Notamacropus eugenii: one gene and its partners. The protein of the gene in region 2 interacts with the protein of the main gene of each other region in a biochemical or structural test. Links are inferred from orthologs where the notes say so. Each region holds a gene or a part of one and is shown on either strand. Other genes may lie near its edges. The genes, in order: RUNX1, FOS and RUNX2.

Region 1 (10,794 bases), on a different chromosome or scaffold from region 2:
TCTGATTCTGTCTCTAAGTTTGTGGTTTTAAGAAAGTTACTGAAACGCTTCAGTTCTCAATTTCCTCATTTATAAGTGACTAGAACATCTGTAAGTTCTATGTTAGCTCTAATAATCTAAGATCCTAATGAGCATTCACTGCTCTTTGTTGTGCATAGCATATAACTAAATGCAGCCTTTGTTCTATGGTTTTCTTTGAAAGACTTGGCTCTGGCATAACCGAGCCATAGAGATGATGAACAAGTCAGAACTGCTGAAATTTGTACCTGTGGTTCTAGGAACTCAAAGGTATGCCAATGTTTAGGCTTTCTGTAGACCACTAAGCCACTTCTAAAAACAAGGCGGCCTACCTGTTTGTTGCTTTGCAAAAGCAGCTATGTGTTTGTGTTTTCTTTCTTTCTTTCTTTTCCTTTCCCCCTTTTAGTAATAAGTCATTCAGAGGCCAAAAGCCTGGGCTGGACGGATGATTTTATGTGCTAAATATGTATGATGTACACACCAGGGAATTTCACCAGTGTCTTAGCTTCCTTACCTAAGTGAACTAAGTGAGGACCTGGTGTGGTATGATAGAAAAAGAGCCATATCCTTTGTGGTATACCACATTCATTTACTATGTCAGACTTGCAGAGTCTGACAGTATTCTCACAAAGAAGGGAGCAATTGTTTGCTTGCTTCCCTATCCCCCCCCCCCCTATTTTCCCCAACTTTCACATGAATATCAAGCTAAAAAAGAGTTATGGATTTCCTTCTACAAGGACTGCATGGGCTGATAAAATCAAATTCATGGAGGAAAACAAACTGTTATTTTCCCTTTCAGCTTGTAATTGCGCTTGGTGAGGGAGCAAAATGCAATAAATTTCAGGGAGCAAGAATGATTGCTTTAGAAATTGCCAATGTCCAGGCTATGTAAACAGTATTGAGAAATATGGGAGAGAACACGTCTGAGAAAGTGGTTATTATGGTTGCATCAGACTCTTAAGACTGTGTCTACATAGTGCCAAATAAAATGAAAAATTGGTAGATATACAATTAAAGTGCTTGGCGTTGTCACCCAAACTAGATAACTTTATAGTGACATTGTTGGTAAAATAAATGGTAATTGCCAAAATTATTTCAGGCAGATATCAGGGTTACTTCCATGATGGACCAAAGAGTTAACATGATCTGAGGCTGCATTGAGTGAGTCAAAGTTCATAGAATGAAAGAGGCAATAGTTTTCCTGTATTCTGTTTTGGTTAGAAAACATAAAGCATATATTTTTTATTTCTTGTTGCCACATTTTAGGAAAGACTGACAAACTAGAACTTAGCTAGTAGAGGGAGGTCAGCAGATGGTAAAGGGTCTAGATAATATACCACATGAAGATCAGTTGAATTCATTGGAGAGACTGGACAATCAGAACTGACTTAGAGGTTTACAATGACTTTCTTGCAGTATTTAAAGGTTGTTATATGGAAGAAAGATTAGACTTGTGTTTGGTCATGGAAGGTAGAATTCAGCAATAGGTAGAAGTTTCTGAGAAGCAGATTTAGGTTCAATGATAGGAATATTTTCATATTAGAATTATCAGAAAGTGCAAAGGGGCTAGCTGCTCCCTCACATTGAAGGTCTTCTGGTGAAAGCTTTAGGACTACTTCTTAAGGATATTGTAGAGGTCATCCTCTTAGTCTGGGGATTTAGCTAGCTGCCCCTTGAATTCTCTGTCAACCCTAAAATTCTGTATTCCATAAAGTTAAGTGTTCTGAATGGCCTAAGTTTCTGTTTAATGAAAAGAAGAAAGTGATAATTGACTTCTAAGTCTAATTTTGAGTATCCTAGAACTCTCCATACCTACCCACTTGAAGGCAAATTGATCCATTTTTAAAGAACTGGTTCGTCTAGCATTAGAACACACTTACTGTGCCAGGATTAGAGTTGGGCTCATTTTATTTTGTCAACACTGCATAAATAATAATAAATCATTTGACAGTCTTCTGTGCTCTTTCTGTAAGGGAAGTTTCACATGCCAGAATTATATGATGGACTCCAATCTATTGCCCTGTGGAATGTTCTAAAATTTCCTCAATAAGTCTTCCTGTGTTAACAAAGTAGGAAATAATAAACATTTTGGGGGGAAAGAGGAGGGAGGGAATGTGTAAAACTAAAGTAAATGCAGGAAGGTACTTTTTTTTGTTTTCTGCAAGTATTGTTTCCTTTACTTGTTAGCAGCTGAAAGGAAATGCCGAGCCAGGGGAGTAGTTAGCAGCTTTTCACTAGTGGTCTGATGTCTGTGCTTTGCAAGCTAAGAGATCCTGCAAGACTGCATGACTCATAAAACTTCTCATGATTCAACTTCACTAAAATTCCCTCCAATGCCAGTAAAGAATAACTTAAAACCTTTAATTTGAAGTTTTAAATCTGTTAATGACCCTTGCTTCATTCCCTTTCCCTTATCTCCCCACATCTTAATTGGGTTTTCAAATCTCAGAGATCCTGAGAAATAGTAACTGCCTGCCTCTGCTTACATTTTTTAGTATGAATTTAAAAAAAAAAAGTACTATGGCACTGTTTGAGAGGGATCTAAAGATTTTATACCCATAAAGAGAAAGTAAATTAATTTTCCACTCTCACCTTCCCTCCCCCGTGACAAAAAGTCCCCCAAACTCAAAAGCCTTCCTTATGCCAACAAGGAATTCTGAATGTTGAACCTGCATGGTCATACCAAAACACTGAACATTTTTATTAAAAAAAAATAAGGTCAGGTTATAACCATGCCCCCAACAAACTTAACAAAACCACCCCGAAATAAAAGCAAGTTCACTTTAATTATAGTTTAGAAAATTTGATCTAGTCGGGTCGCATGAATGTAGACGGGTTTTCCAAACTGGCAATTCAGATTAGTAAACATGAAGTCTAATGACAAAAGCATCTGCTCTACTGAGAATTTAAGAACACTTCACAAGTCTACTGAAACTCCTTTCTTTTTGCTTGAAGGAGAGACTTCTGCATGCTATAGCTTGACTTCTTTCTGTCTCTGGAAAGAACTGGTTGTTTCTTTCAATGTGTTTACTTGGCAATGCAGGGTTGTCACAGTTTGACATTTTAAAGCTAAAGCCACATGAAACGAGTCTGTCCAGTTCCCACCTTTCTGAGACACATGGGTTGTCCTTTCTAATCCTGAGTTCCAAGGTTTTACCTCATCCTTCCTTCTTCCCAAACTGGCAGGTATCATAAATGAGACAGCATTCCTCTCTACTGGCTGCATCCATGTGCTCACGCTAAGACATAAGAACCTCTAAGAATGAGTTACAGCCGGCACGCACTGTTTCAGGATACCTAAGACCTAACAGTCCAACACACAAAACATCACTGTAAACCCCAAAGAGCTTTGGAATAGCTTTATAATCTTTAGCACTTTAAAAACAGAAGCCTAACTGACTAGCACTTGAAAAAGTTTCTTAAATACCAACCGAGTGCCTCAGAAGCTTAACTAATTATTTCTGAAAAACTTTTCTGAAGAGCTGCCATATGATGAATAAGTAACCCAATCGCCTTGTAATCATATGCCTCAGCCAGAATCCCTCACGCAGAATAGACAAGAGTTTCAGGCATTGCTGTGCCACGGACTGAAATGCCACTCCTTGTTCTATGCAAAACTAAGCAGAAGTACATTTTCAAAGTCTGAAGAACACTTACCTCTCATGAAGCACTGTGAGTATGAAGGAAATGACTCAAACATGCTGTCCGAAGTCATAGTTTTCTCCTTCCAATGTAGTCCTTTCTTAAAGTTGGGGGACTATAGGATTTCTTTCACCTTAGGAAGTGAAAACCAAGAAGAGTCATTTGTTTTAACCCTTTACCCCTTCCATCCTTCTCTACATCTTGCTTTTACCCCGGTACTTAGGAGCCTCCAAAAGCCCTATGAAAGATACCTCTTTGAAAACAACTATTCAAATGGTTGAAGATCAAAAACTTTTTTTTTTTTTTTTGAAAAGAGCCTCGTAGTGGCTTGGTTGTGGCTTGGTGATGCTTACCGCTCTACGAAACTCTGTGGTTTGCAGACAGTGTGATTTGCCCTGCCTGCTGACCAATATCCCGGACCCAGTCTTGTGTGACTGCCACCGTACCCAACTTGTGGTTCTGTGGTTGTTTATGAGGCCCCAAAGAAGTGTTTCACACAACCAAAATTACAAATTTAACTGTTCCCCTTTCCACAGCCCATCTTAATTGGTTCTTGCCAATCATGTGACTTAAGTGATGTCATTTTTAAGATTCTGAGCCATGCTTTCCCTACCCCCAACTGCCCCCCCACTCCAGACTGCAAGGAAATAGTAGTGTTAGCAAAAGAGATGCTTTAAAAAAAAGTGACTCAGTCCCTTGTTATACAAATGGTCTCTGCTGATTTAGTACAACTTTGCTTCTGGTGTTATTTGTGGTTTTTGGAACTACTGAGTATTTTGATAAAGATTTTTTTGCTGCTTATTCAATAGTAATTTGGTCCTGGCATCAGGCTGCTGTCAAAACAGGATACATACCCTATAATCTAAAATACTACCCATCAGCTTTAGGAAAGTTCAGTTCCTATTAAAGAGTACAATAATATAAATGAAAGCAGAAAAGAAAAGAAAAGAAAAAAGACAACGTTTAAGCAAATTCTATTTTTTTCAAATTTCATGAATGGAACATTTTGCATTTATGGAAAAATGATTTTCTCTGTTTAGATCCATCTTTCTAGTAAAAGGCTTAAGGGACTACCATTCCTTGACAAAAGATCAAACAGTTAATTGCAGTCCATTGGAGGAAAAATGAAGAGACATAGCATTCATTTCTGAGCAACGCAGTACCTGTTGCATAGGTAATGTTTCTTTGTTGTAATTTCCAAAAATTGTCTCCACTACCCCCAACTTTTCTTCAGTTAAATGAAACCTGCAGAGAGTCTACTTCACAACTGTAGAGAAAATAGTCTAAGAGTATGGTCACTATGATCTTCAACTTGTCAAAGTATTCTACAGAACATATTTAGGAGAACTCTGTTTTTCACCAGGTAGGATCACTGATAAATCTCCTTATAAGTACAAGTGATGACCTGTGCAAAGGCTCCTATTTGAGATACTAAAAATAGCAAATAAGTTTACATATGGGCAAAACCTTCTGATTGTACGTATTTATTTATTTTTCCTACTTGCTGTTCTTAGGCTTACATATAAAAGTAGCATTTTGTCCTTCCCTAAGTCATTTTTTCAAACAAGATGAAAAAAAATCATTTATTTTCTTAAGTTCTAGCATTTACCTCAAAACAATCTAAGCAATGAATACAAGCGAAGTAAAGAACTGAGGTGATTACGTATACCATTTAGAACTTAAACGCTAATTTAGTCTATATGACCAGAAAATGTATTTTTTAAAATATCAGCAAATCGCCTTGATTTTCTGTTTCACTTTGCAACAGATAGAAATGGCCTAAAAATAATGTCCATTGCTGGACAAGAAGAAAAAAGATCTAATTTTGACTTTAAATAGACATTTTTCTCCAGTTCTTTTTGTATATAGCGACCATTAATATTCAGAAAAAAAGTCATCAAAACTCTTGAAAAAATCTATTTGCCACATTTTTAACTTCTGCCTGCTTTTGTGTAATGACTTGTTTAGATGCCTTTTTTTTTGTATAAAGCTTCTTTACCATGTATTATTTTTTAGCAGCATAACTGGAATTTACTCATCATTTCCAATGTTCTTGTGTCAATTGATAAAGCTGAAATTCCACTTGAATCCATGAGCAGTTTGTTTTATGTATTATTTTACAAATGGCCCTTCTCAAAGAAATCATCTTTCAAGGATCCTAACCACCAGTGCTCTCAAGTCTAGCTACCATTGCAAACTTTAGTTAGGGCCAATAATGACATACAAATCAACTGGAGAACTGATGTGATCATTTGGATACTTCTGTTTAAACCTCCCCACAAGCTTTGCCTGAAGTATTTAGATACTTCAGGCAAAAAGCATTTGGCTATTTTTGCTTGAATTATCCAGCTAAATAGTTTGTATCCTCAATTTAATTTTGTGGGTACAGACATGGTCAAGAGTGGTCCCTTGATGGAGTGGTCAAAGGCAAGGAAAAATTTTCAAGACTGTATTAAGGGTAAAGCTGTCTGTGGTCTGACATATGCAATCACATACAGCTGGGGTTCAGACATAACACCAGGGGGCAAGAGTACCCGCACTTGAATGCATGCTATGAAACATTGTCCCCACAGTTAGATGCCACACTAGCCACAGGATAACTTCATTGCCCTGTGAAGCAACAGTTGGGGCTTTCCTGGTCTCTCAACTAGTGACTGTACAAAAACTCTCTTGCTCTTGAATTCAGTCTGCCTTTGTAACTTCACTAAACTGCGAATATAAGCAAAGAAGACAGTCCGTATGTGAAGGAGGGAGGGAGGGAGAAAGAGACAGAGAGAGACAGAGATAGAGAGAGACAGAAGAAGAGAGCCAGGCAGAGAGAAGGCATGGGAAACAGAGTATTGCCTGGAATTTTGAGAAGTTCAATGACTTGTCCAAGGTTACACAAGCCAATATTTATCAAAGAGGGGATTTGAACCCTGATTATACTGTTCGCTCTCTCTCTGTCTCTCTCTGTCTGTCTCTCTCTAAAATTATAAGTTTTTGCTTTACTTTGGTAGATAGACATTTCCTCACTAGAAGCTTTTTATGTCAATAAAATCATATATATATATATACACACATATATAAATACATATTTCTCACACTGTAGTACAAGTATTTTAAATTGCTTGTGTGCTGCCTTCCCCAAGTCTATAGAAAGGCATTATGCTGGGGTAGAGCCAAGATGGTGGAGAAAAGGCAGCAGCTCACTTGAAGTCTCCCTTAAACCCCTCTGAACACCTTCAAATAATGCCATAAAGCAGTTCCTGGAGCAGCAGAACCCACAATAGGACGAATTAAATATTTTTCCAGACAAAGACAACTTAGCAGGTCAGCAGGAAAGGTCTATCACAACTCAGTGAAAGTATAGTCCAGTGCAGGCTGCAGACCAGGCCCCAGCAAACCAGGAGCAGGCCTTGGGAACCATTGAATCAGCAATGGCAGTAAGTGCTTCTGGAGCTCTCAGCTCACAGATTGTAAAGGAATTGAACACCTGGTAAGAAGGAGACTAAAGAGTCTTTTTGTTAGCACTAAGGTAAGTCTTTTGCTTTGCCCATAGTCAAATCTGGGTCTCAGTTCTGGGTGGCAGTCTCAGGGAGAAGAGGAACACTAGGACACCAGAGCTTATGGCATCAATGGAATGGGACCCTCATCGTATTTCTAGGGCAGAAAAGGATGATTTTGGTCACTCATAAACCAGAGCACAGGCCAGGAGAGTGGTAAACAGAGAGAGAGAGAGAGAGAGAGAGAGACAGAGAGAGACAGAGAGAGAGAAGGGGGAAGAGAAAGAGACAGACACACACACATATACACAGAGAGACAGAGAGAGGCAGAGAGAGACAGAGAGGGGAAAGAGAGACAGACAGACACACAGAGAGACAGAGACAGAGAGAGACAGAGACAGAGAGAGAGACAGAGAGAGACAGAGACAGAGAGAGACAGAGACAGAGAAAGAGAGAGAGAGAGAGAGAGAGAGAGAGAGAGAGAGAGAGAGAGAGAGAGAGAGAGAGAGAGAAGAGGAATATTATAGACTAATTTAAGACCTCCCAGGCCAAGGAGAAAATATTGCAACCAATCAAAAAGAAACAATTCAAATATCGTGAAGCCACAGTCAGGATCACACAAAATTTATCAGCTTTCATGTGAAAGGACTGGAGGATTTGGAATATAGTATTATGGAGGGCAAAGGAGTTAGAATTATAACCAAGAGTCATCTACCTAGCAAAATGGAATATAATCCTTCAGGAGAAAAATGGATATTCAATGAAATGGTGTATGTTCATCTTTCGTTGCCAAAGGAGATCATGCCATCAGAGAAATAATGACATTACTTGCACTTGACTTTGTTTTGTGTGAGGGAGGGCTGATTCAATGAAATAGAGAACTTTCAAGCATCCTTGATGAAAAGACCAGAGCTGAATGGAAAATGTGAACTCCAAAAACAAGAATCAATAGAAGCATAAAAAGGTAAACAGAAAAGTGAAATCATAAGGGACTTAATAAGGTTAAACTGCTTACATTCCTACATGAGAAGATGATACATGTAACTCATAAGACCTTTCTCATTATTAGGGCAGTTAGAGGGAGTATATGTAGACAGAGAGCACAGGTGTAAGTTGAATATGAAGGGGGATATCTGAAAAATAAAATTAATGAATGAAAGAAGAATGTATAGGGAGAAGGGGAAAAGGAGAAGTAGAATGGGGTAAATTATCTCCCATAAAAGAGGCAAGAGAAAGCCTTTTACAGTGTAGGGGAAGAGGGAAGATATGAGGGGGAGTGAGTAAACCTTACTCGTATCAGAATTGGTTCAGAGAGAATAACAAACACACTCAATTGGTATAGAAATATACTTGGAAGTAGAAAGGAAGGGGATGAGAAGAGGGGCGGGGTCATAGAAGGGAGGGCAGATTGAGGGAGGTAGTAGTCAGAAGCAAAACACTTTTAATGAGAGACAAGGTGAAAGGGGAGAAATAATAGAATAAATGGAGGGGGTGGGAATAAGACCACAGCTAGCAGTAGTAACTGCGAAAAAAAATTGAAGCAGATTTCTTTGATAAAGGCCTTCTTTTCTCAAATATATAGGGAACAGTCAAATTTATAAAAATAAGAGCCATTCCCCAATTGATAAATGATCCAAAGATATGAACAGTTTTCAGATGAGGTAGTTAAAGCTATCAATAGCCGTATGAAAAAATGCTCTAACACCCCATTGATTGGAGAAATGCAAATTAAAATAACTTCATTACCTTATATCTATTAGATTTAGCTTATAGTACAGAAAAGGGAAATGACAAATATTGGAGGGAATGTGGGAAAAATGAGACATTCATGCTCTGTTGGTGGAGTTGTGAACTGATTCAACTATTTTGTAGAGCAATTTGGAACTATGCCCAAAGGGCTATAAAACCATGAATATCCATTGATCTACAACACCATTAGTAGGTCTATATCCCAAACTATTTATAGTGGTTCTTTTCTGGGTGTAAAGAATTGGAAATTGAGAGGCTGCCCATCAATTGGAGGATGGCTGAACAAATTATGGAATATTATTGTGTTATAAAAAATGATGAGCAGGATGCTCTCAGAAAAACCTGGGAAGACTTACATGAGCTGATAAAAAGTGAAATGTCCTGTGTACAAAGGTACAGCAATATTGTGAAATAGTTAGCTGTGAAAGATTTAGCTGTTCTCAGTAATACAATGATCCAAGACAACTCTGAAGGACTAAGGATGAAAAATGCTATGTATCCCCAGAGAAAGAACTGATGGTGCCTGAATACAGATCAAAGCATACTTTTTAAACTTTATTTTTCTTGAGGTTTTTTTTGGCTTTCTTTCATAACGTGACAAAATGGAAATGTTTTGCATGACTACACATGTATAACATATCAAATTGCTTGACTTCTCAATGTGGAGGGGCAGGGTAGGGAGAGAAGAAAGGAAAGAAATTGGGACCCAAAGTTTTAAAAATAAATCTTAAAAAATGTTTTTACGTGTAACTGGAAAAAATAAAATGCTAAATAAATTTTTTCAACAAAGAGAAGCGTCATACATAATAGGTTACAAAGGCAGAAATGACAGGACTTGACAAGGGATTGGATGTGGGAGGGAGAGAGCGCAGAGTTAAGAATGACTCCTGGGTGTTTGGCCTGGGTAATTGGGAGGATAGTGGTGCCCTCAATAGCCATAGGGAAATTAGGAAGAGAGGAAATTTTGAAGGGAAAGATCATGTCTTCAATTTGGAACTGAAGATGTCTCTGGAATGTACATTTTTAGATATCTGTTGGAGACATAAAATGGAGATCAGAAGAGAGGCCAAGAGGACAAGTCAATTAGAAAATCATGTGCATAGAGATAATGGGAGCTGATGAGATCACCAAGTGAAATTGTAGCTAAGGACAAGAGAAGAGGGTCCAGGACAGAGCCACGGATGAAAATCCTGCAACGCAGTCAAAGAAGAGGCATTCATTTAGGCATGAAGAGAGCTCAAAGTGGCTTCGTCGAAACCTAGATCATCAGGAATGTAAACTTGGTTTATCTGTAAAATGGCTTAAATTTACTCAAAAGGGAATCAGCTGACATAAATACAACTAATTAACCCAGAGATGCCTTGTTTGTTTGATACCCAAGGAGTTGCTTATTGAGCCACTGTTTAGAAAGGTCACTGATATACAACAGAACTCCTAGAGGAGGAACAATAGTTTTCATACTGTGAAAAGGACTGGCTGAAGTAACTGAGGATATTTATCCTTAAGAAGAGGAGAACTGAGTGTTTTGGGCATGGGAGTGCAGGGCAGAATGGAGGTGAGACTAAGGGCTCCAGAAAACTGTCATCAAGGATCTGAAAACTTGTCTTAGGGAGGAGAGCAGAACCAAGGGGGCACAGGTGGCATGTGAGAAGTGACAAATAAAGGCCTGAAGTCAGGAGAAACTTCCTATGATGAAAGCTGCCCCCAAAATGGCATGGGCCAACCCAGGAGGTAGGGAACTTCCCCGTGCTGGAGTCCATCAAGCAGAGAATGGAGACCCTCTGGTTGGGCATGCTGCAAAAGGAAGTTTAGTTCATCCAAGGGTTAGACCAGATGTAACTTGAGATGTCTCTCTATATAGTTGATATACAACTTGCTCCATTGTAAGGGATGATAAATG
Region 2 (10,649 bases):
AATCCTCAGCCTTAATTAATTTGAGGGGGAGGGAATTCTATGCAGAAAGTATTTTAAGGCATGGACTATCCTTGTGTTCTCCCTCTGAGCCACCAGATGAGTAACTTTGCCCCTATGACCTCCATTGTCCTGGTGCATGTGTGGAAGGCAAGAACTGGTTACAGCTAATTCTGGTTGCCATCTCTAGGCATTTGGCCTGGATAAGTTATAGTGTGGTAACAAATAGTCATTTCGAGAAAGACAATGTGGCTTTCATAGATGGGGCTGACGATCTTCCTCATTTGGCTCATTAATAGGCATTTGCTTTATCCTCCCTCCTTCACTACTGGAGATTTTCTATTCATTATGGGCCAAACTAGCAAGAAGTAGCCCAAACTTCTTGTGCTTACTTTACATTTTGAAGTTTCCAGCTATGTAAGAGACACACACACACACACACACACACACACACACACACACACAGCCTTGCATACCTTTGAATGACAAGAACTATTTATTTAGAGCTGGAAGAAACTTTAGATGTCATCTGGTCCAATTCCCTCTTTTCACAGATAAGGAAACAGAGGTCCAGAGAGGTTACCTGCCTTGTCCTGGATCACACAGCTCTCAAGTGACAAAGCTGGGATTTGAATGCATTAGGTCTTCTTACTGCAGATCCAGTGCTCTTTTTGGCTTCTTTTTCCTCAGAAAGGTTTTCAGAATGCTATATTAATGCTACCATTCATTTTATTTCCTTCCCTAGAGGTTATCTATAATTCATACTTTATTTACTTTACGCTATATCTACAAAGTGTACTTTATACAATGTACACTTCAACATATCCTGTATATCCATTAGATTGTATCCATTTCACTTAACACAATGGCTGGCATATGATAGGTGATTAATAAATGTTTGTTGGTCACTGTTTACACATTGATGTTTCTATGTTGTTTTACTCTTGGAGGGTGGGCTTCCTGAGGGCATGAACTGTTTTGGTCAGTAGATAGATGGCTAGGCCTGAAGTCAGGAAAACTCTACTTCCTGAGTTCAAGTCTAGCCTCAGACATTTACTGGGCAAGTCACTTAACCCCGTTTGTCTCAGTTTCCTTATCTGTAAAATGGTTGGAAGGAAATGGCAAATCACTCCAGTATCTTTGCCAAGAAAATCCCAAATGGCGTCATGAAGAGTTGGACATTATTTATTTGGGCAACCCAGACAGGATTATCATCACTGTTACCATTTCACAAACTGGAGATGTGAAGATGAGAAGCCATTTGACTTGGTGAGAAGTAACTCTCCCAAGGTCGCAGAAGGAGGCTTTCTGACTGAAGGTCTCGTGCTCAGACCACAGCCCTTTACCACCAGACCACACTTCCCTAAATAAATAAATACTTCTGCATGTTGTGTGCAGACTGTGCGCAGAGACATTTACGTAGGAGGTGAGGATAGCAGCCTTTCACTTACTGTAGCAACACTAAGCTAAAAAATACTCACTGACTTCACTTAACATTTCCTATCCCTCAAGAAAGCCTTTTGAACCAACAGTTTGATAACTTTAATTCAAATACCACAGAGGTTTAGAAACAAGAGGGAAATATATACTTAGGAAAGGACCAATAAGTAAAAGCAAGTAAGTTTTCCATTGAGTTACAGAAAAGATGAAGACTTCAACCTCCAAATGCTGAAGGAACACAGTGATAAATGAATAGAGTATGGATCTTGGTATCTGGAAGACCCTGCTTGAAATCTTGCCTCATGGTAGATTGCTTGAGTTTAAGAATTCTGAGCTGCAAAGGATTAAAGATAATCAGGTGTCCTTACTAAGTTTGTGCTAAACATAGTGAACCCTTGGGAATGCCAGTCTGCCTATGGATGGGTGAACCAGCTCAGGTCAGAAAAACTGAAGAAGTTAAAGCTTCCAAGCTAGGCAACATTGGTATCAAGTCATGAGAGGCTGGTACATTTCCAGCCTTGGAGAGATAAGGAAACCCAGTCTCACAGATAAAATAAAATAAAATCCTGACTGAGACACCTTGGCAGACACCTAAATACTCTCTGCCTCAATTTCTTCATCTGTACAATGTGGGCAATAATACTTGTGCCACTGTCATTGTGTTGTTGTGAGGATAAGATGTGATAATGCAAGGCAACTGCTTTGTAAATTTTAGGTATCATTGTTATTTTTTTAAGTCATGTGGCCAAGATGTTTTTGTACCCAGAAAAGTGCCAGATACTTTACTGTCATCCTCTAAGAGCCTAAGCTTGAGGGTAAAACTATATTCTCATCACATGATACATAAATGTGACTCTATAATAAAAATGAATTTTCATTTTTAATAGATAATCCTCCGCTACCTTCACTAAAGTCTTACTCTGATGCCTTGTTATGGTATGGAAGTGATCCTAAGCTATTCCAACAAAAAATAATCTCTGGCAAGTCCTTCAAAGTTGCAAAGGTTTAAAAACAGGAATGCAGCCAGGTGAGAGGAACACTTGCCCCCTGGGTTGAGTTATGTTCCAATGTCTTTTCCCTTCTTCTCTCCATTTGCATAGATGGCCAAAAGAATCTTGGGGTTGAGAACACTGAGAGGCCTTCAAAACAGAAAGCCCTTGGCAGGTTGATAGAAGAACCTCTAATGCTAATGTTGACAAGGCACAGTTTGGAAACCAGACAGGGAACCACAAGGAATTTCTAACCCCAAATCAGACGAGATTTCTGATGGAAACCCTGCCCTTGGTAACAAGAAGTCAAGATTAAACAAATAGATGAGTCTGTGGTTACTACTTAGCTGGGACTACTCTGTGTCCAGAAAATCTTGGCAGCAATGGTGAGAACTATTTTTTTTGGAGATGAAGTATCAGGTTCTGAAAAGTGACAGATTCTCTCTATGGAAGGAAAAGTTACTGAGAGTTCTTGCTTTTCTCCTTCTTTCTCTCTCTCTCTCTCTTTTTTTTTGGTTAAAGGGTGTAGCTTGCGGGAAAAGGGGAGTAGGGAAAGACATATTTGGAAATGAAGCTGATTTCAAAACTAAGGCTATCAGTAACATTTTTTTTTTTAAATTCCAAAAGATAGTTCTCTTCTGGCTAGAGGTTTTTCTAGTTGGAAGCAGAGGGATGGATTTGATGACCTTTTCAGGTCTCTTTCAACTCTGATGATTATATGATGGAGTTCTAGAGAGAATAGACATGAGAGCATCTAAGGACTCATTTTTCACTATCTGTTTTAAAAATGAGGCAAAAGGGGAAAGCGAACATAAATTCTTGAGAGGAAATCTTGACACAGTTATTCACCAGTATTGATTCTGGAGGCCTTGAAGGGAACTGAATGAAAATATTACATATTTTCTCTTAGCTAGCTGTAAGACCAAGCTAGAAATCAAAAGGGAGGTCAGATTCAAGGAATTTGGAACATTGACCTAATTTTTCCAGATCCGATAAAGAAAGGGAGTGAAGGATGAAGGGAAAGAGTACTGCTTTTTATCATAGGTACATCTGCTTTCATAATACTTACCTTTTTAAAGACCAAGGGCAGTAAAATGCAGAAAAGTCGAGAAGATAGGATTAGAGAACAGAGCAAGATCTTTTTAGGATTCAGAGCTGCTCTAACAGTTTTTTGTTTTTTTTTTTAAGAAGGAACAAGGGGATGGGGAGTGACGATTCCCGAGTTTAAAGCTTCAGTAACATAAGCCAAACAGTGACATAAAATGATGAAATTCTGTTTTCACCTTTGCTCTGACAGAGTATCACAAAAATAGCACATGGCCCAGTTCCACGAATCTCCTCCTTTCTCTTTTCCCTCTCTCTTTTCTCCCCCTCCCCTCCCTTTTGGTTCAGATCTCTAAGAATGGAGGTTACCGCACAGCAGCTGCGGCGGCGGCGGCGGCAGCAACAGCCGCCGCAGCAACAAAAAAAGCCCCCAAAACAACAAAATTCATCAGTCACTGAACTTAGCAAATGATCTCAAACCTCGGGAAACAGCCACAGCCCCAACAGATCCCATCCTCCTTCCCAGAAGGGATCTGGCACTACGTTCTCCCTAGCGCCTGGGCTGCTGCTCCCTGCAGCGGTCGCTTGGATACTTGAACTGGGCAGGCTCCTGTTTGTTGCTGTAAACAGCGGCTCCCCTGTTACTATCTATAGCCGGGATCTTTTTGGCTTCTGGGTGAAACGGACTGGGAAGCAAATAGGCTGTCAGACTCCAGGCACAGCCCTACACAATCCAGGCGGTGACCTAACGCGTGCCAGGGGACCTGCGTGATGCATCCCAATCCCCCACTACACCCAGAACAGTCCAGGGGCGTTTTCTGATTACGTTGTAACTAACAATACTGCGGTTGTTTCCTATGTAGAATTGGGGGTACCGAGACACTCCTCCCCTCCAACCACACACCCTCCCCATTGGCTTTTCACCGCAGCAAACGCTGCTCTTTTGTGGCTCAGAGGTCGCCAAGCTGAGCCTCGGTTTCCAAGGCAAAAATCAGGGGTGGTAAACTGAGGCTGCTTTTGGAGCAGAGAGGTTGTTGGTACTCTGGGTTTTAGACGGGTCTTGGCACGAGCAGACAGCTTGCTCCAGATGACTTTCTCGCTAGAGAAACTTCGTGTCTTCCGGACTGCGGAGATACTTCTGGGTTTCTTGTATTTTTCCGAACCATTTGAAATAACCAGCCCACTGAGCTCAACGTCTTCCTTAGCCTAGAGTCCCTATTCCACCCACGCTCCCCATCCCCAAACTGGAAGTACCTATTGATTGCTCATTTTGTGAACTCAATTTCCTAAAGTGAACTAGATAAACTTTTTTTCGAGTGTGTTCTTGGAGAGGAAGGGACCGTCCCACTCTAGTATCTGGCTTTGCCTTGCCCACCCGGAGTTGAGCTCTATCCCCCACCCCCTTACTCCTCCTGTACCCCTCTGTCTTCCGAGCCAGGTTGGATCAAGTTAGAAGGTAGCAAATTCCTCTTTATGTGGTGGTTTGCACGACAAACACCTATTAATTCTTATTAATTCATCTATTAACAACAAAACGCTGTAATTATACTAGAGCGGGGTGGGGGTGGGGGAATCTCCTTTCTCTTACAATCCTGCCCTCATCATAGGTCCTTTCGAAAAGTTTTTGTATTTTCTGGCAATCTTGTGCACATTTGGAGACCACCCTGTGGCTTCAAGCAAGGGAAGCTGAGTCCAGGTCCTGAGCAAAATTGGGAGAACAAATAGAGAATTGGGGACGAAGCTTGCGTGCGGGTCAAGGGACAGATCTCTAAAACCCAAGTCTCTGCACTTGTGTCAACATCCACAAGTCCCTGAGCTGTCTCCCAGACCACGTATGACTGGGGTTACAGGGCCACAGGTCGGTTGAAAGAGAGGTGATAAAAGGTGATAAAGTTTGATCACTTTGCTTCCCTTCCCCCCACACCCCTCCCCCCAAAGCCTTCTGGTCTACCCTACCCCTCAACGACTTGGCTACAGCCTCCTAGCAATTCCCGTCAGTCCCTCCTCCTTTACACAGGATGTTTCCCATATTAGGACATCTGCGTCAGCAGGTTTCCAGGCCTAGGAACGCTGAATTTTGAGTTTAGGGGAGATTTTTTCCAGGGATATCTCATGTGGGTCCCTGCTTCCTTTCCAAAATCCATTATAAAAATTCTACTTAATTTAAAGATAATTTGAAAAAAAAGACAAGAGGTTCAAACCGACAGGACACTTTGAAGAGCCCCACGGAGCAGGCCGGAGTGTAAGGAGTCACCCCTCCCGTCTAGGAATGGACTCTACCCATGACGTGAGGCTCATTCATGAAATGCTGGGACTCAAATAAAAGGAGCAGCTTCGCTCTCGTACTCCAACCGCATCTGCAGCAAGCCGCGGCGGACGGGACCGAGCAGCTGAGCGGGGATCGCGCTCATACAAAGCAAAGCAGCCTGCTCCGATCTGTCCCCGCCCCCACCACCCTTCCACCGGCTTCTTACAAACCTCAACATGATGTACCAAGGATTCAACACCGAGTACGAAGCATCTTCCTCCCGATGCAGCAGCGCTTCCCCGGCGGGGGACAGCCTCTCTTATTACCACTCCCCAGCGGACTCCTTCTCCAGCATGGGCTCTCCTGTCAATTCACAGGTAAGAGACTCCGCGAGGCGAGGGGCGCACAGCTCTGGGGGGTTTGCTTCTGATCGGGTTTGGGGTAGGGGCAGAGGAGGAGGAAGGGCACTGCCTCCCTGCAGAGTGGCCGCCAGGCTGCTGCTATTCTTAGGTACTGACCATACCGTGAATTTTCGCAGTCGGGTTTGAATGAGGAGTTCTGAGCGCACCCTTAGAGGAGAATGCTGCTTCCCTTTCATGGCTCCAGAGTGGAATTGCCTCTTCTTTTAGAGCCACTCTCCAAGAGGGAGGGAAGAAAGCAGCTTTCTCCTTCCTAGCAGCCCTCCCAGCACGTTCCTCGCATTATTTGCCGCTGATGTCTGATAAGCGTAAGGGGAAACGTGTCACGGAAAAAGGCTAGCATAGTCCTAGGTGATGGAAGGCGTCAGAAAAACAGCTTTCCCTTTGCCCAGATAGACTTCTCCCCGCAGCTAAGGAGCGGGAAGGGGGTGGGGGGGGCGGAGGGTGCAAGCGGGAGGGGTGTGTAAGGCAGTTTCATTGATAAAAAGCGAGTTCATTGAGGAGACTCCGGAGCGGAGCCTGCGTCAGTGCAGACGTCAGAGATATTTATAACAAACCTCCTTTCATGTGAGTGATGCTAAGGGGATAACGGGAGCTGTGACTGCCCAGATAGAAGAGCGTGGTTTGCAAAACACTTCGAGGGAAATGAGGAGACCCTTTCAAATGGAAATAGAACATTTTATAAGAGGAATACAACAGCTGTTCCTGGAGGAGATAGTTTCTTTCTTTGCAGTCGCAGTAAATGCACCTCACCTTCACCTACTTCTGAAACCTGGAATCCCACCAACGTCAATTTTTTTCTTCTTTTTGTTTTAGGATTTCTGCACAGATCTGGCTGTTTCCAGTGCCAACTTTATACCAACTGTGACGGCTATATCGACAAGCCCAGACCTGCAGTGGCTGGTCCAGCCCACCCTCATCTCTTCTGTAGCCCCATCCCAGACCAGAGTCCATCCTTATGGAGTCTCTTCTCCTTCAGCTGCTGTTTACTCTAGGGCTGGTATCATGAAGACTGCAGGAGGCAGAGGGCAAAGCATTGGCCGTAGGGGCAAAGTTGAACAGGTGAATATATCTCTGTGTAACCTTTCATGACAAGTGGAGAAGGATAGTAGTGGGTTAATGGGTTGAGTTGGCTGATGGAAACTTGTCGCCTGACACTGACAGGACTGGTTCTGAATGCCTTCACTCTAAGACAGAAACCTGCACTTGAGACAACTGACACTTTCTTAGTTTGCATACCACCACTATCACTTTCCCCCTAGCACAATTTGAAATGTAATGGGCAGATTCAGATAGGTTGTACACTTTTAAATTAATAAGTATGAGGCATTCAGAAGGGAAGGACTCTAGGACTCTGATGTAACAGAAGCTAGAGTTTTCTTTGTTCTCTGGTTGAGGATCTTATTTTACATTCAAGTCACACCCAGTCTGCAAGTGCAGGTTAGAAAAGGCCTCACCCAAGAGACTATTAGGAAAGGGGTGGGGGGGCAGCCAGAGGAACAGGTGGGATAGTGAATGGAGGTGCTACTGTAAAAACTGTAACTGAGCACTGAATGTGGATTTGCTTATTTTTCTAGCTTTCCCCAGAAGAAGAGGAGAAAAGAAGGATCAGGAGAGAAAGGAACAAGATGGCTGCAGCCAAATGTCGTAACAGAAGAAGGGAACTGACTGACACACTCCAAGCGGTAGGTGTCTACTTGGGCCATTCCTTCTAGGATCTTGGGGGCTGAAGAGAAAAGTTGCCTATCGGCCATGGGACATCGGGGACTTAGCTGAGCTTGTCCAAGTCTCATGTTTTCCTTTGTTCCATTGTTTACAGGAGACAGACCAACTAGAAGATGAAAAATCTGCTTTGCAAACTGAGATAGCCAACCTGCTGAAGGAGAAGGAAAAGCTTGAATTCATCCTGGCAGCCCATCGACCTGCCTGCAAGATTCCTGATGATTTGGGCTTCCCAGAAGAAATAACAGCTGCCTCCCTTGACCTTACTGTTGGCCTGACTGAGGCTACAACCCCAGAATCAGAGGAAGCTTTCTCCTTGCCCCTCTTGCAGGAGACTGAACCCAAACCCTCTGTGGAGCCAGTCAAGAACATCAACAGTTTGGAGCTGAAGGCTGAGCCCTTTGATGACTTCCTCTTTCCAGCTTCCTCCAGACCTGGTGGCTTAGAATCTGCTGCTCGTTCAGTGCCTGACATGGACCTGGCTGGTTCCTTCTATGCAGCAGACTGGGAACCTCTGCACAGCAGTTCCCTGGGGATGGGAGTAGCAGCTGACCTAGAGCCACTGTGCACCCCAGTGGTCACCTGCACGCCTACCTGCACCACCTATACGTCTTCCTTTGTCTTCACCTACCCAGAAGCTGACTCCTTCCCCAGCTGTGCAGCAGCTCACCGTAAAGGCAGCAGCAGCAATGAGCCCTCTTCTGACTCACTCAGCTCCCCAACCCTGCTGGCTTTGTGAGCAGAGGAAGTGAGGGTGAGGGTTGAAGGCACAGACAAGAGCCCAAGCTATGGGTTCTGCTGCCGCCACCACCACCATCATGCTGGAGCTTTTGCATCACATTACAGAAACGAGAAATGTGTCTTCCCCGCAATGGTTTCTGTAGACCCTGGGAAGGCAACTATCTGTGCGTGAATCAAACCAGGCCCTTAAGGACATGGATGATCCCACGTGTGGACTTGAGTCCTTACCTCTTCCAGAGATGTAGCAAAACGCATGGAGTGTGTATTGTTCCCAGTGACACATCTGAGAGCTGGTAGCTAGTAGCATGTTGAGCCAGGCCTGGGTCTGTGTCTCTTTCTCTTTCTCCTTAGTCTTCTCATAGCATTAACTAATCTATTGGGTTCATTATTGGAATTAACCCGGTGCTGGATATTTCCAAATTGTATCTAGTGCAGCTGATTTTAACAATAACTACTGTGTTCCTGGCAATAGTGTGTTTTGATGATTAGAATGACCAATGTTAACTAAGAAAAGATATGACTTTATTTTCTAGTAGATAGAAATAAATAGCTATATCCATGTACTGTAGTTTTCTTCTACATCAATGTTCATCATAAATGTTACTGATCATGCATTGTTAAGGTGGTCTGAATGTTCTGACATTAACAGTTTTCCATGAAAACGTTTTTATTGTGTTTTTAATTTATTTATTAAGATGGATTATCAGATATTTATATTTTTATTTTATTTTTTTCTACCTTGAGGTCTTTTGACATGTGGAAAGTGAATTTGAATGAAATTTTAAGCATTGTTTGCTTATTGTTCAAAGACATTGTCAATAAAAGCATTTAAGTTGAATGCGACAAATGTTGTGAAGTTCTCTTTCTACGAGTCTGGTGAAACTTTGATATGTGACATATTACCAAAGGAAGGGACATAGCCTTCTGTCTGATATCAAAGAAAGAAAAATTCGTTATTGAGATTGAAAGTCTTCCCAGAATTAACTTTGTTTTTGGAAATATGAGCTTACATATTTGTAAAGGTTCTTTGTGTACTTAAGAAAGCTCCATGGTTATTGCTGGGATGGGTTCTTTCTTCTAGTTCTGTCTCATGAGCTGTGAACACACCATGACGGGTATATCAGTGCAGATTTCAATCCATTTATGCCTTAGCATAGATTTGGACCTGAAAGGGACCTTAGCGATCATCTTGTTTTACTCCCTCTTTTTTAACAAAGAAAGAAAATGAGACCTAGTAAACTTAAACTTAGACCCAAGGAGACAAGTTAGTTAATAAGTAGTAGAGTGGATTCAATCCCAGGTTTTCTGATTAAATCTAGTATTTCTTTTCTTGTGCTATGATGTCTCTATCCCTCATCCTGCTCTTATCTTGTCCATTTTGAAGATCCACCCAATGGTTGAAAGTTTACCTTTTGACTTTTTCACATTCCATGGGTGCCAATGGAGTACTTTGGATCTAATTGTTTATTGTAGCCACATGACTGGTAGTTCTCCTTTTCTGATCATACATTCCTTGAACATGCTCTCTCTCATACACATACATGCCTGCACGCACACACGCACGCATGCATGCGCACGCACACACGCACTCTACCTAATCATAGATTTACAGCTGGATAGGACTTCAGAGGTCAATGAGTCCAATACCTCCATTTTACCAGCAAGAAGACTGAGGCCCAGAATGGTTGAGTCATGCCCAGGGGACACATAACCTTGTGTCTGAGGTGAACATCAAGCCCAAGTCTTTCTAACTCTTAAGTACTACACCTACCTACCATACTGCTTCTAACTTTTTTAACAGCATAAAACCACAAGATGCCATTTTAATCTTAAAGGATTCCTCTTGGCAATCTCAAAAATAAACCTTAAAACTGTATTTATATAACATATACATACCACTTTCTTCCCAAACTACCCTTATTCTTTATGTCCACATCCCTACAAGATAGGGTAGGTGTAGATACCATTAATCTTCACTTTAAAAGATGAAGAATTTGAGGTACAAGAAAATTCATGCCACCCACTATATCTCCTGGAACCAGGTACCAT
Region 3 (11,422 bases), on a different chromosome or scaffold from region 2:
GTGTAGAGGTCTTGAGGTCAGAGAGATAAAACTCTATGGCAAGAAATGTGGCTTTGAAGAAAACATGACTTGATAGAGATAATCTGAAGAAAAGTCTTTTTAATTTAAAAAAAAAAGGAGCTTCAGGAAGATAATTCAAGGCCAGAAAATTATAGCAAAAAATTTTTGTTTGTGGGACTTAATGAAGGCTAGGGAGGAAGGAGGAAAATTATTCTGGAACTTAACCTAAACAGGGGGAGCTTAAGAAAAGAACCTTGTGGAAGAGTTTGTGAATGCCACCCTAGAAGGACCACCACCACCTTGAGGAGTTGAAAGGCAAGCAGTTTTGACCTCTAATTAAAAATGCTTTCCAAAGACACCTTGGTAGCCCCAAGGACTGAGGCTAAGAGGTCTAGTTAACTCAAGTATGAGACAGGTTCAAAAACTCAATCAAAATTATTAAACCCCTATTTTGTGCAGAGCACAGTACTGGGTGAAATAAAAAGTTTAGATAACTCTTTGCCTTCACTGGGGTTGGAGCAAGGAGATGAATTTATATGTGAAGGCATACCAAATTCTAGTAGACTAAACTGTGTTTGAATCTTGCTTACCAATATATTACTTACCCTGTAGTAAAGTGGATTTTACATTCTGCCTGAAAGAGTTATGATGTGTATGACTCATTCTGAAGAAAGATCACAGGAGATAATAAAGAGGTCAGACTATAGTCAAAATCTCTAAGGAGGAGAAACAATTCAATCCTTTGGGTAGTGACAATATACTGAATAGAGGAAAATTCAGGGAGCCTTCTTTTTTTTCATTTTCATTTTATTTTTTCAATTAGCAGAATTTATTTTCCCTCCTTCCATCACCCCTCGCCTACCATGGGAAAAAAAGATAAACAAAGACAAAACCCTTGTAACAAAGATGCATAGTCAAACAAAACAAATCCCCACAATGGCCATGTAAAAATATATCTCATTCTGCAATAGACTCCACCAATTCTCTCAAGAAGCAGAGAGCATTCCTTCTCATCCATCCTCCAGAACTGCATTTGGTGATTATATCGATCAGAATTTTAAAGTCTTTCAAAGTTGTTTTGTTTACACTGTCATTATTGCCTAAATTGTTCTCCAGGTCCTGCACATGCCACTTTGCATTGATTCATGCAGTCTTCCCAGGTTTCTCAGAAACCATCCTCTTCATACTATGTAAACTGAGGAGGTGCTGATTAATCGGGAAATTACCAAACAAATTATGGCATATGATGATGATGGACCCTTATCATGCTGTAAGGAATAGCAAAAGAAACCTTCGATTTGAGGCAACGCTTCACGGTTTGATTGCAGAGCTTCACAAAATACTGCTTCAATATTTCAGCACCCTTCCAGCATTGCTGTAGTACCTTGGAATGCTGCCAACCACAGAGCTGATTTTGTATACTATACAATTAGTACTGATCAGTATTACCATGTATGGAAAGTGATCTGCCCACTTTAAAGTGCTATAAAAGTGTATTGCTATTATTTTCCCTCCACTAACTGATGAAAGATGATACGCTTTTGGAAACTGCATGAACTTTGTCATGCCAACAGGGTACCTTTGAGTGTGTTGCTCTTTTAGGGTAATGCAAAGTTTACAATTTTTTGAGCACCATACTTAGAGATCAACTAAACAAGTGTCCAACTTGATGATAAAGTACAATAATTAAAGTTCATATCTACCTTAATAATAACACTGCATGCTTTTATTATAAAAGATCACCATGGACCACTGGATAAAATAACAGGATAACTAACTGAGAGCAGTATTACAATCCTGAGTCTCCCACTACAGATATTTTATTTCTTATTATAACTACAGATGGGCCTTGAAAAAATTAGCTGTTAAAAATAATCCAGAGAAAGAGTAAGTGGAAAAATTAATTAAAATATACAACATGACCTATACACATGATGTCAAAGAGGTTTGGACTTGGAGTAGAAAACAACTGCATTCAGATCCTGGCTCAGCAATTTCCTAGCTGTGTGACTCTGCAGGTAACTTAACCTCTCTGATTCTTATTTCCCTTAGTTGTAAAATGTGGACTATGATAGTAGCATCTAACTCACAGAGTTGTCACAAGGCTGAATTGAGATAATTCATATAAAGCAGTATACAAACCTTTAAGTGTTATAGAAATGTGAGCTATTGTTATTTAGTGAGGATGAAGCTAGTGAGAAGTCTATGTACTAGTAAAAGCATTGGTAAGATTTACTGTCCTTTCCCCTCATAACCTTACCTCTGAATTAAGCTCTTTGAGGGCAGGGACTCTTTCATTATTGAGTTTTATCCTCATTACCTAGCACAATTCTTGGAATACAGAATAAATTTAATAGATGCTTGCTGACTGATTGATTGATAAAGGTATCCAGCAAAGAGCCCTGTTCCTTACTTTCAAATAATATCCAAATTTCTTCTCTTCATTTCTCCCAGTTTCTTAATTTTAAAAAATGAAAGTTCTATAGTATACACAGACATTCAAAAGAACTGGCAAACAGTGAAAAATATCAGTCAAGAATGAATTTTGGAATCATGCACCAAATAATTAATTCATGTTCCAAATTCTTCATTTTTAAATGGGTATTTTATGCAGACTGCAGACAGAGATTGTGTATATTAGTAAAAATATAAACTCCTTCAGTGCAGGGACTACCTCAAATTTATATTCCTAAAACCTGGCACATAGTAGGTACTTAATAAATTGTTGTTGACTGATTGATTAATCATATCAAATACCTGATCTTTACTGCTGTCACATTCTGCTGTGGGCCTGAGGTGTTTTCTCTTTGTGGGAGCTAGGTGGCACAATGGATACAGTACTGAAGTTCTAATCTGGAAGCCCTGAGTTCAAATACTGATGTTGATACCTACTTGCTGGGAGACCTTTACCAAGTCACTTATCCTCTCTTGACCTCAGTCAAATGGGGACAATACAATATAACCTACTTTTCAGGGTTGTTGTGAAGATCAAATGAGTTAACATATGGAAAGTGCTTTGCAAACCTCAAAGGGCTGTATAAATGTGAGCTATTAATTAATATAAGAGTTTGTAATGATACAAATATTACAAGCACACTTAGTGAAGGTGTTTTATGACCATACTACAATCACACCATCCAGTACAAAGTAAAGCCCTGTAAGTGAATTCCTGTTTACAAAGCCTTCCCATTTGATACATGCAGAGTTTTAGGCCCCATTAACACATCTGTAATTTTCCATTGTACTGAAGGGTTTTTCCACTTAGGAACTGTAAGTTTTTATTAGCTGATCCCTTGAAAAATGCTTTAAAGATTTACTTTATTTGGAAAGCCATTGAAGTTGACTTTTTATGGTCTGCCATTTTGATGATGAAATTCACATCACAAAAAATATAAAATGCTGTCAAGAGTTTAGGACCAACAAGCTGGATGCAGAGATGTGATCTATTACCATTTCTGGGATTGTTTTACTTGAATAGACAAATAATCCGATCTCTTCATACCTCACTTTTTTCATTGTAAAGTTAGAATAGCAGAATCACTCGGTATCATTGGTAGACATTTGTACTAATTGTAAGAGGATTATCTTTCCACTGACATCCTATTCTGGAACATAATTTTCAATGCTGCTACATTTCTACTAAGGTTATTTGCTTTCTGACCCCATTAAGTAGAATCAAGAAAATGAGTATTCTCTAAGAAGAATCTAAGGAAAGTTGTGTACCTTATGTTTTCTGAGAAGAGAAAATCATAACCAAATTGTGAGATCATAAAATTTATAACTATAACTATATATGTACATTTATATTTAAAATTCCATACTGTTTTCATATGTGCCTTTTATTACCAGGGGAGGTTTTATTCAGGGGTTTCTAAATTTTTTTCTTCTTTTAAAAATAATGCTTTGAGCCAAGAGATCCGTTCCAGGCTTCACTCAGTTCCAGTTGAAAGTGTAAATGTTCAGCAGGATATTTTTGCAAGGAGCCTGAAAAATCACCAGTGCCAGATACCTGAAACTTTGTTAGAGTATTCAGTGGAAAATTTCATTTCCACATTATAAATAACTGTAGGATATTTTAAGAGATCGAGACAAGTACCTTCCAATAGCTGATTATATTCCCTCTACAGAAATGTGAAATAGGGGGAAGACAGGGAAGGTGTCTATAAAACTCAGCTACCGGATGTGACTAATTAAAATAAATAATTTTGACATTCACTAAATTCTCCATAACTGCCCTCTCTCTCTTCCATGAGTTTTATTTGTAAATAGGGTAAAATTATACCTTAGCGACTTCTACTATTTATTCCAATACTCCTATTCTATCTTTGACATATAAAGTATATTGAAAGGTAAAACACTGAAGGAAAAGGAGAGGGAAAGTCCTGAATGTTATTGGTTAAACTTTCCAACTGATCTAAATCTTCTTTTACAAAAAGAAAAGTTCAGCTTTCCCATATTTGAAAATGGGTGTTGAAATTCTCCTTCACCTTTTTCTAATTCAGTAGTTCTCCTGGGCAAGGACATCAGGGTGGAGAAGGCATGGTTTTCATCTGGCTTGTTGGTTATTAAGCTTCCTATTTCCCTTAAACCAGAGGAATAATTTCACTTCCTGCAACGCCTCCCCTCTTTTGCATTTTGCATCCCTGGCGCAATTTCATTTTGATTGATACCAAGAGATCTCTGCCAATGTAGGGAATGGTATTGTCTGGTCCTTTCCTCATCCCCCAAAAAGGTGGGGAACGGGGTAAGGGACAGTGACAAACTGAGAGGTATCTTTTGGTTTTTGAAAAAAAAAAAATAGAATTTCCTCTTCCAGGACAGCAGCCTCAGGCAAGGGGAAAATTGACCGCGGTGTTTGCAAATAGTGAACAGTGCCCAGAATTAGAGCTCTCCCCTGTGACTAAAAAGATTATTAAAAAACAAAAAACAAAACAAAAACCGTACATACAGACGTACAAACAATTCGATGCATAATAAACTCGACTCGGATAATCCCACAAACTTGCGCCCGCCAAGGCTTGGAGGGTGGGGGAGAACTGACTTACGGATGGCGATCGGAGTGGGGGGGCAATGGGAAAAAGGGGGTTGTTTCCGAAAGTTGTTGCTTTTGTATCCTTCTTTTTGGAGAACTTGTCAGCGACAGTAGCAACTGTAGGAAGGCAGAGAAAGAAAAAGGGAGGGGAAAGGGAAGGAAGTTTGTGCTTGCATGTGTATATGTATCTGTGTGTATGGTTTAGGGTCGAGAGGCGGATGCACAAAGAATAAATTAGTAAAAAGAGTAAAACAAAAATGGAAAAAAGAAAGGAGAAATTAGGGATAGACAGGGAAGAAAGGGAAAAAAATATCCCCAAAGAGGAGGAATTTTTTTTTTTTGGTATGTGCAATCTGGGTCCGAGGAAGCTCATTCCTTTGATTTGCGTACACACACACACACACACACACACACACACCACACACACACACACACACTTCTTTCTTAGGCTCTCTTTTGGTCCTCCAGGACTGGGGCGATTCTTGTTTCCGTGTATCTTTAAAAATAGACCTCGGAGTTTATCTCGGGCTTGAAACTAGTTTCAAAGTCAACACCACCAAGAGCCCAATGCCCCTCACTTACGCTTTCTGCATTTCCCCCACCACCCCAACACCTTTCAAACGCAGACCCCTCTAGCCTAAACACAATCCAACCTTTTAACTGGAGCAGTAAATTGAAGCGAAGCCTTAGAAATTACCAGGAAGATTTTCATAGGTTGTTATCGATATGGGGGAGGTGTTTACATATTTTTAAAAAATTACTATTGGGTATGTAAATTATTTTCAGCAAGCTTTTTTATTTTTTTGAGAAAACAGTTACACTTTATCTTTAAAGTCTAAGGAATGATGCAGAATTTTCATTCACTTAAGGAAATGTAGATTGTGTCGGATCCTCACTTGGAGTCTCAGAAACTCCGCCGGCAACTCATGATTTTCATTTTGTGAAAAACAAGATCTTCAAGTTGTTAAGAGGAAAATGTTCATGAAAAGCCGGGAGAGCAGCAGTAACAATCGAGCAAAGGGAGAAAACGGTCCTTCTCTCACCCCCCCCCCCCCCCGCCCCCTTCCTGTGGGTGAAATTGATGCCAAAAGATTCTTCTCTCCCCCTCCCATTTCCCCCACCCCCACCCTGCTTCTGTGGGCGAAGCACATCGCTGTATTTATTTTGAAGGCTACGGAGTATGAGGGCTGGCTGGAGACACCCACGTGCTTCTGACTCTCATCAGCATAATGATCGCCTTAGCCAGAGAGTCCTGTCTATATAAACCACAAAAACCTAATCATTAGAAATCCCAGCCTCCAAAAACCACATTTTAGGACAAAAACTGAGGCATTTTTTCTCGCTCCTTCATCCTTTCGACCACATTTTTTGGGGGATCCAAAGTAGCTTCTCCCCCCCTTTAAACTCTGATATACAAATAAATAAATTACACCCGCTGAATTTGGGGGGGAGAAAGTTATGGGGGGATTTTTAATTTATTCATTTTTAGACTCAGCAGAGATTTGAGGGGCTGAAAACGCACCGGGAACTGCCTATTTGCGCACACCCCCCCCCCGCAAGTTTTTTGCGACCTATTTTAACCACCAAGCTGACAGTTTTCCAACTGTTTTTAATCCTTCCTTCTTCTTTGGCAGTCACAAGGTTGAGTGTGTAAGAAAAAAAGTTTATTTCTTATCCTCTGTCATCAGTCACGCTTTTTTTCTCTTTTAATTATTCTTCTGACCAATATTTCAACCCCCACTCCCTTTTCCGCTTTAAAAACAAATAAATAAGAACTTTTTTTCTCCCTCAAGCCTTTTTGGCTGTGGTGGGGGTGGGGTAGGGTGGCGGGGGTGAAGAGCGAGAGACAGATTAAGAAGTCAGCAGAAAGACTTTGAGAAAAACGAAAAGTTCACTGCTGTCGGATCAAGCCACCACCTCTTGGGCTTCCTAAATACATTTGGTTAGGAAAGCTCTCCCCGGTCTTTTAGGGGAGACCGGAAGAGGACAAGTAGAGGTACCCTCTCTCTCTCTGGGAGCCATTCTCACATCTACCGACACCCAAACCGGCTCGGTATCCCGAACCTGCGGCACAGACAGTCTCGTCCTCCTTGGTGTTTCTCCCCCGCTGGTGGACAGCAGCAGTACAGCAACAATGCAAAGTTAGGACTAGAGATCGTCTGCGACTCAACTTACCTCCCGGCACCTTGAAAATCATAAGGAAAAGAAACTCTTGCACTTAGAAGCAAGGAGGTGGTGGTGAGCGAGAGAGAAGAGGAGGGGGGAGAAGGAGAGAAAGAGTGGAGGAGGCCTGAAGCTGCGGAGGGTAGCGGCGGCGGCGGCAGCCGTAATCTGAGTGAGCTAGAACACAAGGGGGGAGCATCTGCGGCAGCGGCAACAGGAGGCGGCGAAGGAAGAGGAGGAGGAGGCGGAGGCGGAGGAGAGGGCTGCAGCTGGGCAGCTGTGCGAAGAGCCGCGGCCGCAGCAGCGGCAGCAGGCAGTCCCGGGGCTATGCTGTTTCCAGCTGGGCGCTGCTGAACAAGAAGCCGTCTGCAGAACTGGACTTGGGGAAAGGGGGGCTCCAGGGAGGACCAGGAACCCAGGCGTCCGAGGGGACCCCATTTAAACCCATTCCAACCACAAGCTCCCCCCAGCCGCCACACACACCCACGCGCCCCTTCTCGGCTGCCACCCTCGGTTTTTCCAAAGACTCCGGAAAAGAACTGCTCGTCCTCTTCTCCCCACCCCGCCAATCCGAACTGATCAGCACCTCCACTCTCCCCCTCCCCCACCCCCTCCCCACGCCTAGTGTCAGACTCTTCCTGGCCTTTGGCTCCATCGAACTTGATCTCGTTTATCTCCTCCACCCCATTGCCTACACCCCTCATTTCTCCCCCTCCCCTCGTTCTCTCCCTCCTGGTTTCCTTTTCTCCCTTCTTTTTCACCCGGCTTCCCCTCCCCCCCGGCCACTTCGCTAACTTGTGGCTGTTGTGATGCGTATTCCCGTAGATCCGAGCACCAGTCGGCGGTTCAGCCCCCCCTCCAGCAGCCTGCAACCCGGCAAGATGAGCGACGTGAGCCCGGTAGTGGCTGCCCAGCAGCAGCAGCAGCAACAGCAGCAGCAACAGCAGCAGCAGCAGGAGGCGGCGGCCGCGGCGGCGGCGGCTGCGGCGGCGGCGGCGGCAGCAGCGGCGGCGGCGGCGGCCGCGGTGCCCAGGCTGCGCCCGCCGCACGACAACCGCACCATGGTAGAAATCATCGCTGACCACCCCGCTGAACTAGTCCGCACGGACAGCCCCAACTTCCTGTGCTCCGTCCTGCCCTCTCACTGGCGTTGTAACAAGACCCTGCCCGTGGCGTTCAAGGTAAGGAAGGGGCTGCCGATTCTCTCTGCCGCCTTGCCCTTCTGACCCTTGCCTCCACCCTCCTGCTCACCCAGTACCGCAGCCCGTCTGAACTCCCCATCACCAGGCAGTGAGTGTGCGTATGCCTGTTCGTGTGTGTGTGTTTGTGTGAGGAAGCCGGCTCCCCCAGATTCCCTCAGAGGAAGGGGGCGATGCATTCTTCTGTCTTGATCCCTTACCAGTTATCACAAATGTAAGGGTTGCCCCAACGCCTTCCCGAAGAGATCTGACTCTCCCATTTTAACCAAGAATCCCTCACCCCCGTGTGTACCTTTCTTCTAATCCGAACTGAAAAAGGGCATGGTGCTTTCCAGCTCCCGGCTGGCTCGCTCCCCTAACTTCGCAATGATGCACCTTTTTAATCCCTTCTCCCTTCATCCCAGCTCCACTTTCCCTTCTCTGCCGCCAGGGTAGTTTAGTGCACCTCTTTAGACTCTAAGCCACCTTTCCAAATGTCTAGTTCCCCCCCCCCCCCCCTTACCTTCTGTCCCACCTTCTTTCTTTGACCTCTTCCCCCTTCAACCTTTTCATTTACCACTTCACCCCCTCATTCTCCAGCAGTAGTCCTCCCTGCTTCTCTGCCTTTGCTTTAGTCCTACTCCTCGCTCAGCCCCTGGTAACTTTCTTCCAATCACTTAGGCGCTATAAGCCCCGACACCGCCAGCCTTCCCTCGTTCACCGTCCTTAACTCTCATAGCATCCCGGGACCAGTGTCCTCTCCACGGTTCCGTTCGTCACCTCTTCGCTTCCAACCCACTCCCCCAGTGCTCAGTTTCTACTGCTCCCCCTCCCTTGCCCAGACTTCCATCTGTGTTCGCACGCAGTGGCGGCGAGGGATATAGGCTCTATTTGCCCCCTCTCCTTCAGCACAGTTTTTATAGTCTCTTATTTGATTTAAGGAAAAACTAAGAGTCGAAGCCACTTAGAGTATTCTCTTTCTCTCTTTCGCCTCCACCTCTCAGTGCCATCTCTTTTATCATGCCAGAGGGTCTCCGGGGGAAATCATTACCCGGGCTGGGCTCTCTGTCGATGCCCAGGGACTCTGCCCGAGAGCATCGAAACCCATTATTACCCGAGGAGGTTTAGAGGATCTGGCATTGGGCTAGTTGGGCAGCTGGGCCCCAGGGCAGGAAAGCCCTGGAGGTCAAGCTAAGGATGCCGGCTTTTCTAGACTCTCGACGGGCTTCGCTCAGTCCCTGAGGCTGGGAAGAGATAGGCGGGGCGGCTGTTGGAGGCTCTCTGCAGCTGTCCAGAAAAACTCCTGTCTTCCTGTGGGGTTCAAGGGGGAAGTGGAAGAGCTGGAGAGGGGAGCCTTCTGAGGTATTCCAGGGCCGAGAGTGGGCTGGGCGGGCGAGGATCTGGCCCCCAAAGGGGCTATATGTGTGCCCGGGCTCCGTCCGCACTGATTCGGAGTGAGTTCCATTTCTACACCCCCGAGGTGCCACTGGACTAAACAGAGATCCTCACGTACTGAACGCCCCCGTCCCAATTTTCTTCTTTCTTCTTAGAGCTCAGTCTGGGAAAGTTGGTGGGGAGGGAGAAATCACTTGAAAATTTTACTTCTAACTTTAAAAGTTTGGAACAAAACTCAGTATAGCCTTTAAAAAACAGCTTTGCTTCCTTTATTCTCATTCCCATTTTCTCTTTACATCGCTTTAAGTTCCAGCAAGCCGTGTGAGTTAAGCTGGTGGGTTAGTACCCCCTCACCTTTTTTGCGGGAAGAGATACGAACTTGAAGAACTAGGGGAACTGGACCCGGCAACAGCGGGAGAAGTCCAAGTTAACTGCTTTACCAATCTGTCTTCTCTCCGTCTTCCCCCTGTCGCTCCTGGTAGTTCGCCTAGCAAATACCGTTATCTGGGTTAGAATATCAGTTCTAGGGGTGAGTTTGGGTTCGGGAAAACACCCTGTCAGGTTGAGGAGTGTGTGGTCCTCAGCCTGTTGCAACACGGAGTGAAGCAGCCCAGATGAAGGCTCCGGGACAAGCAGGGGCTGCCCAAAAATTGTGGAGGCAGGAATGAAGCACCTTCCCAGGCAGTGGGATAACCTGGGGACTTGTTCAAGATAAAGAGGAGATCCTGAAAGAAAAAACAAATGTTGTCACCCCTGGGGCCTAGATTTCTGAGTTGCAAAACCAAAACGTAAACTAGACCGAAGCATTTTTTTCTCCCAAAGGCTATACTAATCGTCACCACCCCTCATTAGCAGAACTTGTACAGGTTGGATTTGGGTCCCTTGGGTTGGTACTGTCAATAGAGATTGGGGTAAGTAAGGAAAGTTCCGGGAATGAAAAAAGGAGGAGGTTATGCCAGTTATTCCCGTAGTGGGGCTGGTGCCAAAACTCCCACAGGCCAATCGCAGCTACTAGTCCTTGATCACTTTTCCCCCACTCAACAATTCAGATGCAGTGTGTGGGTGGAAGTAGAAAGAAAGAAAATTCCAGGTCAATTAAAAGCACTGGTTATCTAGATAGGTTTTTTTTATATTGTTAGTATCAGTACAGAAATCGGAATGAGTATTATGGGAAAGGGATGCTGCACTTGGGGGCAAGTTTCACTTTGCAACTGGCTCATCAAATTGTTTTTAGTCTTTGCCATCTTCCCTTATTAATTAGTCATTTTTAATGATTAGCATTTTGTGTCCTGAAAAAATGAAAATCTTGGAATATTTGTGAATAATAATAAGTATTTAATCTGCCAACTCAAAAGGCCCAGAATTCTCATTAGATTCGAAGGTAACATGTTAAAGAGTTGTAAAATTTAAATTTATTAGAAATATAAGATAAAAAGATGGATATGCAGTGTCAGATACACCAAGCATCTGAAGTAAAACTTTGTAAGTCCAGTGATTAGGCTACATATGCTCTCTGATTCCAGAAATCTGCACATTTAGAAACATCTGGATGCTTGACCATATTTGTCCGATATTTGGAGATCCATAAAGAGTTTGGTACACTAAATGAAAGATCAGGGATAGTAAATTAATCTCAGGGTATTACCTTATGCAA

Evidence for each region.
Region 1: the proteins of FOS (region 2) and RUNX1 form a complex in vitro, tested with the Homo sapiens proteins (2 studies listed by BioGRID). The link is inferred for Notamacropus eugenii from reciprocal best matches to the Homo sapiens genes FOS and RUNX1.
Region 3: the proteins of FOS (region 2) and RUNX2 form a complex in vitro, tested with the Homo sapiens proteins (2 studies listed by BioGRID). The link is inferred for Notamacropus eugenii from reciprocal best matches to the Homo sapiens genes FOS and RUNX2.

Annotation. Positions count from the first base shown.
Region 1 is NC_092876.1:423,814,369-423,825,162, reverse strand, and holds the start of RUNX1 (runt-related transcription factor 1), read right to left. Parts: upstream 4,134-10,794; 5' UTR 4,014-4,133; intron 3,794-4,013; 5' UTR 3,734-3,793; coding exon 3,676-3,733; intron 1-3,675.
Region 2 is NC_092878.1:58,113,351-58,123,999, forward strand, and holds FOS (protein c-Fos), read left to right. Parts: upstream 1-5,317; 5' UTR 5,318-5,954; coding exon 5,955-6,095; intron 6,096-6,953; coding exon 6,954-7,199; intron 7,200-7,714; coding exon 7,715-7,822; intron 7,823-7,956; coding exon 7,957-8,598; 3' UTR 8,599-9,447; downstream 9,448-10,649. UniProt on the Homo sapiens protein: Nuclear phosphoprotein which forms a tight but non-covalently linked complex with the JUN/AP-1 transcription factor. In the heterodimer, FOS and JUN/AP-1 basic regions each seems to interact with symmetrical DNA half sites.
Region 3 is NC_092873.1:109,180,388-109,191,809, forward strand, and holds the start of RUNX2 (runt-related transcription factor 2), read left to right. Parts: upstream 1-6,850; 5' UTR 6,851-8,004; coding exon 8,005-8,376; intron 8,377-11,422. UniProt on the Homo sapiens protein: Transcription factor involved in osteoblastic differentiation and skeletal morphogenesis. Essential for the maturation of osteoblasts and both intramembranous and endochondral ossification.